2 linked regions of the Drosophila melanogaster genome follow. The protein of the gene in region 1 interacts with the protein of each later gene in a biochemical or structural test. Each region holds a gene or a part of one and is shown on either strand. Other genes may lie near its edges.

Region 1 (10,082 bases):
CCAGCGTAATCCCTGCCTAATTCGTCCGGCCACCGTGGTGACGCGGAAGGGTTACCGGGTTCAGCTGCACCTGGACTGCTGGCCCACGGAGTACTACTTCTGGCTGGAGGACGACAGTCCCGATCTGCACCCCATCGGCTGGTGCGAGGCCACCTCGCACGAACTGGAAACCCCGCCTGGCTATCTTCAGCCCAAGTCCGTGATGCCTTGCGATGTGGAGGGATGTCGGGGATTTGGCAACGCCAAGCGCTTCAACCTCAACGTGCATGCTTTGCGGGAATGCTGTCCGTATGCGCCGGAAAATTGGCGTCAGTGGCGCTCCAAAACGGTGAAACCGCCGCGTGTGGCCCCCGAGAATATCAGACGTGGATGGGCGAAGAAAACAAAGCGTGCCTGTTCGGAGGCCAAGCAAGCCATTAAGGAGGACTCCCAACAAGAGATTGTCTACCCGAAGGTCGCGGAAGTGGTGCAAGCCAAGCGAAAGACGTCTCCTTGTGAGGAGAAGGTTGTGAAAAAGCAGAAACAGATGCAGAAGGAGGAGGATGCGGAGCAGGTGCCGGATGAACGCTCCCTGGCCATAGCCAGGTCCTTTGTGAAGGACTATGGACCACAGTTCCTGCCAAACTATCGCCTCTGGCAGCTCAACAGCGCCTTCAAATTGGACGACGTGCGAACCAATCCACTCCACTGGACCAGCTGGGATGTGTGCGAGTACATAGAGCGTGCCCTGGATTCCACTGACATTGCCAAGGTGATCTTCGAGCAGGACATCGACGGCAGGGCGTTGCTGATGCTGGGGCGCAAGGAGTTGGATACGTACCTGAAACTCAAGGTGGGCCCGGCCGTGAAGCTCTACTCCCTGATTCTGAATCTGCGCATCGCGGTCGTCTGCAAGTTTGATTCAAAAAACATCGAACTGGAGAGCAATACTGCTGGTCCGATTCAGAGGGAGATGGATACACCTGTTTCTGCGATAAAACAGCTGCCGGAGCAGTCCCAAACCAACGGCTACAAGACGGATCACGACCAGGAGCTGTCCGAGAGCGGGGACGACGATGACGACGAGGATGTGATGCTCGACAGCGATGACTTTCTCAGCGTTAAGCCGAGCTGCCTGGTCATTGACGAGGACGCCGATGGGGATGGCGATTGTGAATCCGACGGCGATGTGGCGATGGTGCCGATGGAAGTGCGCACGCCCTTGCGCACGTCCTCTTAGGACTCCGGATACCAGGCATCCGCTTCCGTTGATTGATTTATAAGATTATTTTGTTGCACCGGCCTCGGCCCATTCGGGTATTATGTTTATAGGTAGTATTTATTCTTTAAGCCGATATGAATTCGATTTTGTTTGTTTTTCGATCCCTAATCCAATAAATGATCCCTCTAGATATGTACACCATCCTGTCTATTTCCTTGGGTGGTAAGCAAACCTATCTATTCCTCCGGCGAAGGTTTTTCTTCTTCGGGCACAACTATGGTGCCATCCACTTCGAAGAGAACGTGACCGAACAACTGGGTTACCTCAACGAGCTGCTGGAACTGCTCCATGTCCTCGTAGCGCAGGTTGTTCACATCCTGGTAGTTCTTCAGCGAGGTCAGCAGTTCGTGATCGGAGAGATCTCCATCCTTTTTCAGGATTATCATCAGAGCCTTTAGCTCCTTAACACTCAGCTTGAGGAACGAGTTGTCCATGAGCACCTGCGTGGCTACGGGGAGGATTTTCTGGAATGGTATGGGGATTAAGCGAGATAAAAGTGCGGAAATTCATACTTTCGCCACGAGATCCATCAGTGCCGGATGGTGGTGCTCGCTGGCCAGGTGGAAGACCTGCAGAACCACCTCCATGGGCCACTCCTGGTGGGCCAGCTTGTCGATGTAGCAGTCGATGAAGTCCAGCATCTCGTAGCGCTCGGCCAGCAGCATGAGGTCACCGCACATGTCGATGGTCACCGCATTGCACACCTCGTACGTGTAGATGTAGAGGAGCAACGCCTCGTAGGCGGTGGGAGAGGCGTCGTCCACGCTGATCACTCGCTTGTTCTTCTGGAACTCGGGATCCCTGATCAGGCGCTCGAACTCCGCGGAGGCGGAGATGAGCATCACCTGGTGGCAGCGGAAAATGCATGGACAACGCTTGCCCTCCTTCAACTTGTCCGGTTGCGAGACATGGAGCTCGCAGTCCGACTTTTGGCCATTCCGCAACAGGTCCAGGCGGCGTAGCTTGCAGTTCATAGTGACTGGGGATTTTTTGGAGGCTTTGCTCTCACATAGCACAAAATTTGGAATTCGAAATTAGGGTTTCCCTGGCAGGAATGTCAGACTCTGAGAAGGAGGCCGCCGGCAAAGCCCACCTGGGAAGCAACAATCGGTGGTCCGACCTGGAGGAGGAGGAGGAGGGTGAGGCGAACGACCAGGGAGGGATCCAGAACTTGAGGCCGGAACTCGTTGTGCCCAGAACCACAGCTGCATCGGATGTTGAGGAGAATTTACCATTGGGTTCTCCGAGTGATGGGTCCAAACGCGCTACGAGTAGAAACCGCAGACTGGAATACTTTCGCAGTGGAGCCGATGCCGATTGCCAGGTGCACGTCCTGAGCAACTGCCCCCAATCCGATGAGCCGGCGGTCAGTGTGTGCTACAAGAAATTTGGCTGCCATCGGATCTTCCTGGCCACTGCCTCCGACAAACTGGAGCAGGACGTGTACCAGAACAAGGACTGGAACGGCGTACTCCAGATCAATGGGGTTTCGCCCGAGAGCGTGGAGATCTTCCTGGAGTTCATATACACCTTCGAGGTGACCTCGCCGCTGGTCCAGCTGAAGCTGGTGGGGGATATGTTCATCCTGTCCTGCGCGTACAACATGCCGGAGCTCCTTCGCTCCTTTGCTGAGAAACTAAAGGAGCAGGAATTGCCTCTGGATGGCATCTTTCCTGCCTTCGACCTAGCATTCCGGCATAACATCATCGATGTGGAGCGCGTTTGCATCGAGGTTAGTAGATTGGAATATAAAATGGAGCCTTAATTTAGTTAGTTATCCTTTAGAAAATCATAGAGGAAGGCGCATCATTGATCCACGAACCCAGTTTAATGAAACTCCCGGTCTATGCTCTAAACTACGCCATCCAGCACTGGCTGGTGGCGGATGCAGTGCCTCCCGATGAACTCATCACGATTTTAAAGCAGTATCAGGAGATCAATGAGATTACATTCGCCAACACGCAAAAATTCCCGCACTTCACCAAAATTATCAAGTATTTCCCCAATGTTCTTCTGGACGCCGAGGGATTCATCAATCAAAACTAGAAAACTACTTGGAATTCCCAAAAGCTTCGCGCATAAAACCCAAAAATTTAAAAAAAATAAGCCAATAAAATATCAGTTCTCATTAGCATTGTATTGGGTATCTTTTGCATATGGCAAACTGGAAGCTCATCTAAGGGGAAGCTTAGATGAAAGACAGTCTATATTTAAGTTGTAGTTTTCAATAATTTCCTATTGATCAAAAGCGATCCAAACTTTAGAAGCATTTTTCAAAAAGATAAACGAGCAGTGCTGCCAACCGGTTGCACCACTCACGCCGGTATTTTCTTATGCGCCATTTTCGGTATTTTCCGGCAGATACCAGCCAAGAAGCGAACGCGTTATGCGAGGGCCGCATTTGGTACACTAGTGCGCCATTTTACTCGCATAAAGCCGAAAATTCACACAGTGGCCAGAAAGCGAGAAATTGCACAGTGCAAAAAGGTGTTTGGTAATTGATGAAAAGTTTTGCGCGTACCGTGAACCGACCGTTAATGATGTGCCCGCACGCGCAGCGGTGAAAGGCAGTTAATTCGCCTGTGGAGACGCGCTCACCACAACAAACTCGTGCTGTCCGAAAAAAAAAGTCGGCGCTCGGATTGCGGATTATCGAAGTACCGTACGGCAAGGCAGCAAAAAAAGTACGGAAAAGCCGCCCATGCAACGCGGCCAAAAAAGATAATGCAAGTGCAGTAATATTAATTGCCTGGCAGAGCGGCGCATACAGACACACTCCTCCTTTTTTCCCCACTTTTTTTGTTCTCTGGAGGCGCATGTTTTGTTTTTTCGTGCACTGTACCGTGGGCTCAGTGTGTGTGTGTGTGCGTCGGTGTGCCTGTGCGTGTGTGTGTACACATTTTAGGCGGCAATGGTGTGGGGCCCTGGCCAGCCGATAGTCCGCCGCGCCGCGAATGTTATCGATAGACGAGCCCTAACCATTTGTTGTTTGTTTTCCTTTTGTTGCAGTTTTCATGTCTATATAAACAAACGTACAGCGAAAGTCGGTTAAAAAATCAAGCAGCGAAATGGAGGAGATATCCAGTTTGGACTCGTTCGGCGCCGATTCCAATGCGCGACCGGAGTCGGCCACCCCCAGGTCGGAGGAACAACAGGATCAGGATCGACAACAGACTGCTCCGGCGGCCAGTGAAACTCTGGATACGCCCGCCTCGCCGCCAGCGGAGGATGCAGCTGCGCAGGAAAGCAAACCGCCTCCTTCCAAGGAGGCGGATGACGACTTCGAACAGATCTCCGAGGGATCATTAGACGCCGATGATAACCAGTCGCGGGATAAGGCGGCTAGTACACCAGCTGATCCCGTGGATGCGGAGGAGCCCGCCGAGGAGCCAACGCCCAACGAGGAGCCGCAAGGCGGTGAGGATGAGCAGCCACAAACAGAAGCCGTGAGGGTAGATCCACAGGAAGAGCCCGAGGAGGCGGAGGAGGAGACTGATGCCCTCCAGGCCACTGCGGAAGAGGTGGAGGCAGCGGCCGCCGAAGCAGATGCTGTGGACGGCGGTCCCGCTTCACCCGAAGCAATGGATGTGGATGAAGGCGAGGTGGATGCAGAAGGTGAAGCTGAGCAGGAAGCAGAAGACGACGCAGCTCTGGATCGAGAGGCGACAGATGATGTAGATATGCAGTCCGTGGGCGCAGATTCACACCAGGCGGAGGATGCAGAGCCACCGGAGGGCCGAGATGAGGTGGACACAAGCTTAGAGGAGCAGGAAAATGGCCAAGATCCTGATGAACGGGAGAAAGATGCGGCCGCCGATGAAGATGATCCGGATGCAGAAGGAGATGCGGAATCGGAGCAGGTGGATGAAAATGCCGAGGAAACTGGTGAGGCCGAACATGGCGATGGTAAGTCTTAGTACTTCTTTGATGCATGTTTATAAAAGACTAAATGAATGAACTATTTACATTATAGACACAGTGGAAAATGTTTTGGAGCCAGAGGAATCAGATGTTTGCCTTATTCCCGATGATCAAGAAACGGAAGTGACTGAAGCTGAGAAGGAACTGGCCCGCGAGAATGCCGAGAAGGCCGCCGAAGAGGAGGAAGCCGAGGAGCGGCAAGCCAAGACACCCGATAACGATAGAAAGTCCCCGGCAGATGCCGCCGCCGATCCAGAAGACGACAGTGCAGCTGCCGTTGACGCCACCGACGTATCTCCAACCACGCCAACTGGTAAGTGCTCCACACTAAGACTTGAAATGCCCTATCCCACATCTACTCTATCCATTTTGCCTGCAGATGCTCAAGCTGGAGCTAAGTCGGCGGCAACAGGCATTGCAGAAGGTGAGCAGATTGGGTTAATTCCTGGGCAAAACTCACTAACTGCTTCATTCGACTGCATTCTATTCATTTAATTCTTGCTTTAAATTTAGTTTGTTATTACAAAATTGGCTCCTAGCATACAGAACGATTGCTTATTAAAATGTATATAACGTAAATCCCCTTTTTTTGCCAGCAGATGGAGTAGCTGCAGCAGCTAACGAAGAGGAGGCCGGTGGCGATGTTCCCGATCCCGACGAGCCCACAGCCGAGGAATCCTCCAGTGCCGGAGCGGGTGAACCTGGTTCCACGCCGAAAATCATCATTAGTTGGATCGTTGGCAGCGTTCAGAAGTGCAAACAGTGTGGCGATGAAAAGAATTGTGGGTTTCGGTACAGGAGTCCAGAGGAGTCAGAAGAAATGGATAAGGAGAAGGAAAACGATAAGGCAGAGGAGAACGCTGAGGAGGGGGAGGAGGAGGAGGCTCGGCAAAAGCCTGCTGCTCCCAGTGGGTTCGAGTACATCTGCGATACCGCCTGTGTCGACGCCCTGCTAGAAGATCAACCCGGCAAGTACTTTGTACGCCGCAAGAAGTTCCTGGTCGAGGAAGTGGTTCGAGAAGAAGGCGCCGCCGAAGCGGAGGCTAGCGCCGATGGCGAGGGCGGAGATGCCGAGGAGGAAGCTACTCCAGCCAACACGCAAGATTGCCTGCAGTGCAAGGATAAGACGCGGTGCAAATATTTCATTAAACAGGACCAGGACTGCTTCTACATTTGCAATGACGATTGCTTCAATCTGCTCAACGCTGAGGAGCCAGATAAATTCAAGCTGAAGCGGCACTCGATTCGAGTGCGCAACATTGGCGCCACAACGCTGCAGCCACCGCAAAATTCGCCCACCAAACGGACCGACGGCAGCGTGGTGGCCAGGACGGTGGAGGAGGCAGAGACGGCGCGCCTGGACAGGATCGAAAGCTTCCGAAGGCGCTGCGCCGACTGCGAGGCGGATATCAATACGGACGAGAAGCAGCTCATGTGGGAGACCATGGACTTCTGCAATGAGGTGTGCCTGGGCAGCTATCAGCGCACCATTGGCTCCACCTGCGAGACCTGCAAGCAGGAGGTGAGCTCCATAGCGCTTGGCAAGTACTGCGTGCGATTCGGTTTCGATGTGCGGCAGTTCTGCTGCGCCGGCTGCCTTAACACCTTTAAGAAGGGTCTGAAGACGTGCTCCTGCTGCCAGAAGGACATCAGCGGCGGGCAGGAGGGCTTCCTTGCCCCGGTGGGTGACAAGGATCAGTTCAAGGACTTCTGTTCGCAATCCTGCCTCCGTCGCTACGAAAGCATGTGCAATCCCCGACGAAAACTACGCACCGATGTCTGCGGTGTGTGCAACAACCAGAAGCCAGTGAGGGTGGAGATGCTGCTGGAGGACAGAGAGCACTACTTCTGCTCGAATCCCTGCTTCTCCGCCTTTAAGTTTGTGAGCAACGTGAACGCTGATCCGTGTGCCATGTGCTCCAAATACTTTGAGCGGCGGAGCGCCGAGTCCTACACCATCTACAACGAACAGCAGTCACCGAAGGTCTTCTGCTCGCGGGTCTGCATAAATGTGTACATCATCGTCAACAGGCACATCGTCTCCTGCCAGTGGTGCAAGGTGAAGAAGTACAACTTTGACATGATCTATCAGATTGGTGGGCCGCACGATCAGGAGACGCTCACCTGCTCCATCAACTGCCTGACCATGCACGGCGTTAGCTGCAACATCTCCGCCAGGGCGGTTACCAAATGCGACAATTGTTCCAACTTCAATACGCCACAGTATCATTTGACCATGTCGGATGCTTCCATGCGCAACTTTTGCACCTACCAGTGTGTGATGCAGTTCCAGAATCAGTTCGCCCGCGCTCCCCTCACGCTGGACAGCGACCTACCGCCCAGTAGCGCCGGCAGCTCCAAGTCCCAGCAGCAATCCAATCGAGGCAACAAGAATGCGGCACCATTTCCCACGGGCCTGCCCAAACGTGTCAAACTGAAGCTCTCCCACGTGAGTCAAAAACTAAATAATAAACTAAAAGGGTACACACTGGGTTTTTTTTAAGTTTTTACAATCGAATGATAGCCATGCAATAAGTGTTAAAATATTGAACGTAAACGAAGTATTTGCAATTTTTTTTACCTGCTCGCTTAATTATTAATACATTTACTTCAATTTGGCTTTCAATTCAAGTTTCAATTGCAATCCTAATTTCATTCAATGTCCACCAAAATGGGAATTAACGTAAATTAATTAAGTATCATACCTAAGTTGCATATAATTAATGTCCCCGATAATTGCAGACTGGAAAAGGTGGCGTTGGAGGCAAGAAATCCGGCTCCGGCACCATGCTACCGGTTATATCCACGGTGCAATCGCTCGCCAGCGGCGAAACCGAAGCCCGGATCGGCAATCTGACGGTTCGTCGCAAGCGTGGACGTCCACGGGAATCGGGAACCTCATCACCGCCGCTGTCCATGCCGGGTGTCCATCCGCCAGCACAGCGAGGAAGGCCACGCAAGCACGCTGTAGACTACTCGGCGCGTTCACCATCGCCCACGATGTCAGGTGGCAGCTCCCACATGGGCATTCCGGTCAGGCGAAATACTACCACGACTATGGATTTCGGGCCGGCTACGGTAACGGAGACCAAGATCATCACAGTGCCACCATATCCCAAGGCTGTGCGAAACGTGAACATAAGCTGTAAGCCCTTAACGGTGACCCAGGGCGAGCAGTGTAGTCCGGATGTGCGGGATTGCGCCACCCAGACGGAGAAAGACTACTCCAACAAGGTGCTCATCCCGGTTCCGGTGCCCATCTTCGTGCCGCAACCCATGTACATGTACTCGGCTCCGTTCCCCGTACCAGTGCCCATTCCGCTGCCAATCCCGGTGCCTATTTTCATACCCACCACGCGCAACACCGCGCAAGGCATACTTAAGGAGATCAAGAAGATACAGGACAAGATGCCAGAGGATCCACTGGAGGCGGAGTTGCTTATGATGGCCGAGATGGTGGCAGAGGAGAAGCACGAATCGGACTCCGATTCGGACAACGAGATCAAGCCGGATCCGGGCCTGGTAGCTCTGCAGTACCAGAACAGCCTCGAGTCCGTCGCCCAACAGCAGCAACAACAGCAAGTGGTGGACGTTAGCGGAGCCGGACATAATCCCTACGGCGACGATATGCTGCAGATAGCCCTCAAGATGGCCACAGGCGACTACGACAATCATCACCAGACCTCGACGGTGGATCTGGAAACGTCGATGACGGCGAATACGATCAGCAGCCAGTCGCCGATGGGTCACGACGGAATGGGTCAAATGGGAGTACATCATCTAGATCAGCAGCATCACATGCTTGATGCCACGCAGCGGTGAGTTAAGAGAGATGGCAATCAGAGATCAATACTCAAGTACTTAAATGTGATGACTTTCAGAACCGCACGTGGACGCAAGCGCGGCGTAGGCGTCGTCATGGACCCACCCAACCGCAACAGCCGCTCGCCGGTGAAAAGGCAGCGCGGCGGCGAGATGGATCACTCGGCCCTGCAGCAGCAGTCGCAGCAGGCACAGCAGCCGCAGGAGAAGCCCGACGCCCAAATGTTCCTGAAGTACACCTTCGGGGTGAACGCATGGAAGCAGTGGGTGATGACGAAGAACGCGGACATCGAGAAGAGCTCGATGCGCCGGCGGCCCTTCAAGACGGAGCTGCTTCAAATGACCGCCGACGAGTTGAACTACTCGCTTTGCCTCTTCGTCAAGGAAGTGCGCAAGCCCAACGGGACGGAATACGCGCCGGACACCATCTACTACCTTGTGTTGGGTATGTAGTTACTCCCCAGGTTTACACATGTACCATTTGATTTTATTGGAATCTCTTCCTTCAGGCATTCAGCAATATCTGTATGTGAATGGACGCATAGACAACATATTCTATGATCCGTACTACGAGCGGTTTACCGAGTGCCTTGACGAGGTGGCGCGCAAGTTCTCCGTGCTTTACAACGATTCGCGTAAGTTGAATCAACTTGAAATGAGTCAGTTCCAGCGTAACCACATCTTTATACACCTAAACAGAATACATTGTCACTCGCGTGGAGGAGGAGCACTTGTGGGAGTGCAAGCAACTTGGCGCCCATTCGCCGCATGTTCTGCTGAGCACGCTAATGTTCTTTAACACCAAGCACTTTAATCTGACGGTAGGAGTAAACGATGCCGCATTTGTTGACCTGGGCTAAATTGCGTTTGGTTTTTCAGACCGTGGAGGAGCACATGCAGTTATCCTTCTCGCACATAATGAAGCACTGGAAGCGCTCATCACAGAATTCCAAAGTTCCTGGCTCACGAAACGTGCTCTTACGATTCTATCCACCGCAGGCGGGTCTGGGTAAGCTCTTAACTAAGCTTCGTATGCACAGAAACTGAGCTCTTACTTAACTTTTTTTCAAACAGATGC
Region 2 (5,921 bases), on another chromosome or scaffold:
AAATCAACTTCAAATCGCTGTTGCAACATTAAAAAGTTTTAATGAGCAATTTAATTGTCTGTATTTTGGATGATCAACTAACTAATACTGTGTTGTTAACAAGGTGTCTCCTTCGGATCTAGTTTAAATACAATTACTCACCAGCTCGATGATCTTCAGCAAGAGGCGATTGTTGAACTCCATGACGCTCGGTTGAGATTTCGCTTTCGTTGGCTTTTATGGAATGGAACTGGATTGGGTCGACTGGATGCGCTTGATTTTGCTGGTGCGTGTTGATGCCACGGCGTACGCAAGTGAACTGGCCAACTGCTCTGCCGCCACTCGCTTTCAAAGCTCCAGTGGCGTCGACGTCGGCAGCGCTGTCGGCGGCGGCAGCGGCGTCAGGCAGGCAAAGTTAATGCCCATGTTTTTGTTTACCTTCGGAAAACGCAATTAGCTCGGATTTATGAGCACATCCGTCGACGGAAGAGGTTAAAGGATATTCTCGTATAGCATTACTCATAATTTAACCGCTTTTGAAAAGGACATTTCAACAATAGGATGGTTAAATGAGAACTTTTCCATATGACTGTACTTTGAATTCACACACCTGCATATTGCCAAAGTAAAAATCAGATTTCATAAATTATCTTATAAGCTGTATATTCACAAGTCCTTATTTTAGAATCGAATCACTATAGACAGTCCGAAAGATCGACTTAGAAATTAAGTTAATGAAAAAAACAGAAGCACAAATAAACTATTTAGCCAACTATATCGATGCGCCCACATAGGCCAGTGCCCGTTCCGCCTCAAACGCGGCGACATATTGAGGCTCTAGGGTGCTGAGAGCCCGCTGGGTGAGCAGGGAGATGTTCTTCGCCTCGCCGTGATCTCGCTCGAAGGCGAGATACTCCACCCAAACGCGCGGCTGTGTCTTGCCGAAATAGCAGGCCATAAAGTCGTAGCACATGCGCCAGTATTTCAGGCTGGCCTGGTCCTGCAACAGATAAAGTAAATTAGTTGCGCCTCGCAATTATATGCCAAAGTAGCAAAGATAACAAAACATACACAAGCTGCCGCACTGGACTCCAGCTGAACCATTTGGCGGTGCAGCGCCAACGACATGGGCGGTAGAATGGCCAGCTTGGCGTACTCCTTGCGTGCTTCCTCGACAGACCGCTCCTGCCACAGATAGCGCAAATAATCGGAGCGCAGCTCACCAAATTCCGGCCACGCAGCCTTGCAGGCGAGACCGTAGATCTCATCCAGCCGGCGTGCGCCCAAGCTATCCTGCCGAGTGCGATAATACAGAATGACACTGCGCCACAGCGGCAACGCCTCACTGCCCATGCTCTTCTGGATCTTGTTGAATAGCTCATAGATCAAGGGCTCACTGTCGCTTTGAATGTGCGTGGCCAGAAGAAGCTCGTGCATCTCCACCGATGAATCGTTTTTCAGGGCTTCCGTGAGTATGGTGACAGCTGCCTCCCTTCCACTCGGAGCAGTGCAGAGCATCTTTCTTAATGTGGCATAGTGTTTCACGCCCATCAACTGAGAGCGATGGCCCGCCTGCAAGGCATCCGCTAGGCACTGTTGCTTTAGTATACGCTCCGTCTTTCCATCGCTATTGAGTGCCAGCATGGCATCCAAATACATATTCCACATTTCTGTCGTTTGCAGCTCCTCCACCGCCGATTTGTATACAGTAACGCAGAGTTGAATGCGTCGCTTGAGAGAGCGGCCATTTACGGAACGAGATTTCTTGCTGGCCGGCTCTTCGTCACTGGTATCCAAGTCCTCCTCCTCCAGGTCGCCCAGATGAAAGCCGCGCAACTCTCGCTGGGCAAGCAAATCCCACAGGCCCGGCTCCCGGGGGAACTTCTCTTGCATATCATCGATTATCATTCGCTGCAGCTTGCCCGTCAGCTCCTGATGATCCTCACAGCTTTCTAGAAGCTTAACAAAGTAGTCCAATTGGGTAATATTGGCCATGCTGTTGCGGTAGACCGCCTCCACGCGTTCCAATTTGATGTCCTGTTCCGAGAGCGTATTCTCGGCTAAATTGCGTTCGTTGCTGGCCAGGGCAGCCTCTTTCAGCATAATGTCAAAGAAGCACTTGTTAAGTGCCTCGGAATCCGGATGTCTCTGCAAGCCACGCAGCAGGATGTCCTTGACTCGATCGATGTTGAGCCGATTGAACTCGTACAGCCATAAGGCGGCGTCCACCCAAAGATCCGGCGAGTCGCCATGGTACTGCAAAAGAATAACAACAATGGATAAGTAATCAATGGAAGTGAGCAGGCTGGCAAATACTAACCAGCAGCATCTTCTCGTATATGCCCGCCACCTCGACAGGATTTGACTTCCTGCTGAACTTGATCCAGTTGCTCCACAGCCGTCTGTCGTGGTTAAACTTAGCCAAGGCCTCTCTGTACAGGCGCATGATCCGCGTGGCTATGGAGGCCTTTAGACCGGTGAGTTTAACGTGCATCTTCTTTTCCTTGTCCACGATGGTCATGTGCATGTGCTTCTCGTACAGTATGAAGTCCAGGTAGTCGGTGATGCTCTGGTGGCTCTTGTTGATCTTAAGGAACAAGCGTTCCCGCCTGCTAACGATTTCTCTGCAAGAATATGGATGAAATGGGGGCACAGACTCCAAATTCGTTTGGATTTCTCACCTGACCTGATCCGCTGTGAATACGCTGTAGTTCTTCATCTGCTCGTATTCCGGCAGCAGGCGCTCCTGCATCTCAGCTATGAACTCGGCCATATTTGCTTAGTTTTCTCCTTAATCGTACTTAGTAATATTGTTTATTTCTTTAAAAACTAGCGCACGTGCAACGCAACGGCCGTTTATCGATTGTCCAATTTCTGGAGAGTTATCGCTGACAGGGATGGTAGAAAGGGTAATTTAAAAAAAATATATATATATGTCAAAATTTAAAAATGGTCAAGAGATAATGATAAAATTACAATTGTAAAGTTTTTAAAGTTTCAGCTTTTTAATTAAAATGCGTTTACTGGCCAAGAGAGCGATAGTTGCCGATGGCGAGACCATGGAGTTGCCATCTTGATTTCTTCTTCTTCTTCAATCTCTTTAATCGCACGTATAAATAAGTTTTGGACGCCAAGAAAATAACAAAATTCGCAGTTGGAATAACACAATTAGCGTAAAAGCACAATGGCCGAATTCTCAGTGGAACGCGTCGAGGACAAGCGAACGGTGAACGGACGAACGGAATACTATCTAAAGTGGAAGGGCTATCCGCGCAGCGAAAACACCTGGGAGCCGGTGGAGAATCTCGACTGTCCAGACCTGATAGCCAACTTCGAGGAGTCGCTGAAGAACAACAAGAAGGAGACAAAGAAACGCCTGTCCACCTCCTCCACACCCGAATCCATACGCAGCAAGCGCAAGAGCTTCCTGGAGGACGATACCGAGGAGCAGAAGAAGCTGATCGGCTTTGAGCGCGGTCTGGAGGCATCAAAAATACTGGGCGCCACCGACTCATCCGGGCACCTAATGTTCCTCATGAAGTGGAAGGGCAGCGATCACGCCGACCTTGTGCCCGCCAAGCTGGCCAACACTCGATGCCCCCAGGTGGTCATACAGTTCTATGAGGAGCGCCTCACCTGGCACACGGGCAGCGGCAATGGTAATGGGAATACGAATTCCGTCAATTTGGGATCATCCGGTGGCCTGGGCTCCGTCGGCGGCAGTGGGGCCGGCGATGATACTGCTCCCGGCAGCGTTGGCACCACCGGTGGCGGCAGCAATATAGATGGCGGTGACGAGGAGGATCCCGAACCGGCCAGCCCCATTGGCAGCATCAATCAAGACGAGAATATCAAGCCGGACGAGAGTAGTGAGCTGGACAACGGACAGCCGGATGCGGATGACTAGTTGAGTGGCAGATACAGATGACTGTTTCGGATTCACTCGCTTATGTGGATACATACACACCGGCTTTATACGATATATGTACATACATATTTCGTAGCGTAGCCCTTAAGATAAAAAAATTGGACAAACTGAAGTTCTGGCGTCAGTCAGCGGTAGTATATACATATACATATATACATATACATATATATACATACTTAATCTATAAGTTCAATTGTAAAATTGTTTTTAACATCTACCTTTATTTTTGACCCACATAAATGTTTTATAAGCATATAACATCACAGTGTTAAATACAATTGGCCTAAACTACGCTTAACCTGATCAATGAGGAACGACTCAGACTGAAGGACCACCTTTCTATCTTAACAACTATCCAGCTTTCTAACACTTTAAGTTAAAAAAAAACACATTGAAATTGCCAATATTTTTGTGTGGAAATCAAAAGACGCCAATTGTGCTGCCCACCTAGCGCCTTTATAGCCAGAATTTGAGATTTTTTCCTAACAGGCAGTTATTAAGATCGATTAATTTAGATTTTCCCGATTTTTTCATTGTTTCGCAAATCATTATGTGTTCCAAACAAAAGCTTTTAAAACTATGTAGGTTTGTAAGACTAAAGTAAAGTACGAATAAAACAAAATTGTGCTGGCAGATAATTTGCCATGCCGTGCATAAGTACAAATATCTAAGAAGTTTCAATCATAAATACACATTCTTTCTCGCTGTCCCGAAGTTTTAATACAAATATTTTGTTTAAACATTTGACAAAAATCAAATAAAATGTCAAAAATGACTGAAGAATTGGAGAAACCAATTTGTAATAGCTACTATTTCCGCTCATCTCTGATCGATAGCAGGAATATTATTCGATAGACTGCAACAGGAGCCGGCAAAGTGTAAACTAAAATTATTATATTGAAATATTTGATGCACAGTAGAGACGCCGCGAGCCAATTCTAGCGTGGAAAGATGGCACAAACGAGCTCCATGAAGTTGCTGGGCGCCCGCAACATGTCCTGCATTGTGGAGCGTATGGAGTGGAACAACAAGATGGATCTAATTGCCTACGGAACGGAAAAGGGTGAGCGTCTGCCTCCGAAATTGCCAAGAATCACCAAATAAACTGCCAGTGGGCTTATCCCAATCATGTGGATAGGTGAGGTGGTCATCCAGCGTCTGAACTGGCAAAAGATTGTCACCTTTCCCACGCCCGGCGAGGATGTGCGGGTGCGTTCGCTCAGCTGGCAAATGGACGAGACACTCCTGGCGGTTGGCTACAGCAACGGCAAGGTGGCGCTCCTGGACGCCGAGAGCGGAACGATAATATCAGGCCTCATTTACGAGGACGACATCAAGAAGGTCTACTTCAGCAAGGCCATCAACTCGCAGGAGAACCTAGGTAAACCAGCGATACGAAATAAGCTACAGGGATTTGATTGTGTTATAAACGATTCTAGGAACTTACACATGTAATGTCAAGGATAAACACCGAAGGTTCCTGCCCAAACTGCAGCCAATGACCAATATTGATCCGTGCCTGAAAACCCTGGACCAAAAGTCCTTTCCAAAGGGATCACCTTGCTTTCTGGTGGTGATAATGCGCAGCGGCAAAGTGCACCTACTGCTCCTAGGAGCCCTGCAGGCGGGCAGCATCGATCTCACACAGCACATTCTGCATCCGCACGAGTTCGATGTGTACGATGTGAGGATGAACGGAGACTGTAATGCCATTTATGCTCTTTTGCGGGACGGTCAGGAGCTGATATTGCTGCACTTTCAAAACCAGGTGCTGCAGGATTGCATGGCACCCATGCTGGAGCTGGCAACGCATTGTGCCCACATCCTAGAAACCAAAAAGTAATACATTTATTTGCCAATAAGTTATGTTACTAACCATCGTTTGGCGCTATTTAGCTATATTAATGACACGCAACAATGTTTGACGGAGGCCTGGGAGACCGTGCAGTTGGAAATGGACAATAAGCTAACCAGGTACGCCAATTCCCAGCCGTACGGAGTGATATCTGCCCAT

The links.
Region 2: the proteins of woc (region 1) and HP1b form a complex in vitro, tested with the Drosophila melanogaster proteins (one study listed by BioGRID).

Annotation. Positions count from the first base shown.
Region 1 is NT_033777.3:27,257,640-27,267,721, reverse strand, and holds the start of woc (without children), read left to right. Parts: upstream 1-3,666; 5' UTR 3,667-3,945; exon of another isoform or gene 3,946-3,987; intron 3,988-4,270; 5' UTR 4,271-4,329; coding exon 4,330-5,167; intron 5,168-5,234; coding exon 5,235-5,495; intron 5,496-5,561; coding exon 5,562-5,606; intron 5,607-5,773; exon of another isoform or gene 5,774-5,778; coding exon 5,779-7,631; exon of another isoform or gene 7,632-7,672; intron 7,673-7,736; exon of another isoform or gene 7,737-7,841; coding exon of another isoform or gene 7,842-7,865; intron 7,866-7,924; coding exon 7,925-9,000; intron 9,001-9,063; coding exon 9,064-9,449; intron 9,450-9,513; coding exon 9,514-9,639; intron 9,640-9,703; coding exon 9,704-9,825; intron 9,826-9,883; coding exon 9,884-10,013; intron 10,014-10,078; coding exon 10,079-10,082. Other genes in the region: l(3)mbt (lethal (3) malignant brain tumor), read left to right, coding at 1-1,219; CG14260 (uncharacterized protein), read right to left, coding at 1,438-1,725, 1,774-2,235; CG14262 (uncharacterized protein), read left to right, coding at 2,316-2,993, 3,047-3,307.
Region 2 is NC_004354.4:9,078,196-9,084,116, forward strand, and holds HP1b (heterochromatin protein 1b), read left to right. Parts: upstream 1-3,058; 5' UTR 3,059-3,163; coding exon 3,164-3,886; 3' UTR 3,887-4,551; downstream 4,552-5,921. Other genes in the region: CG44325 (uncharacterized protein), read right to left, coding at 142-183; CG7246 (uncharacterized protein), read right to left, coding at 752-979, 1,051-2,235, 2,300-2,603, 2,661-2,752; APC4 (anaphase promoting complex subunit 4), read left to right, coding at 4,859-4,970, 5,046-5,288, 5,347-5,746, 5,804-5,921.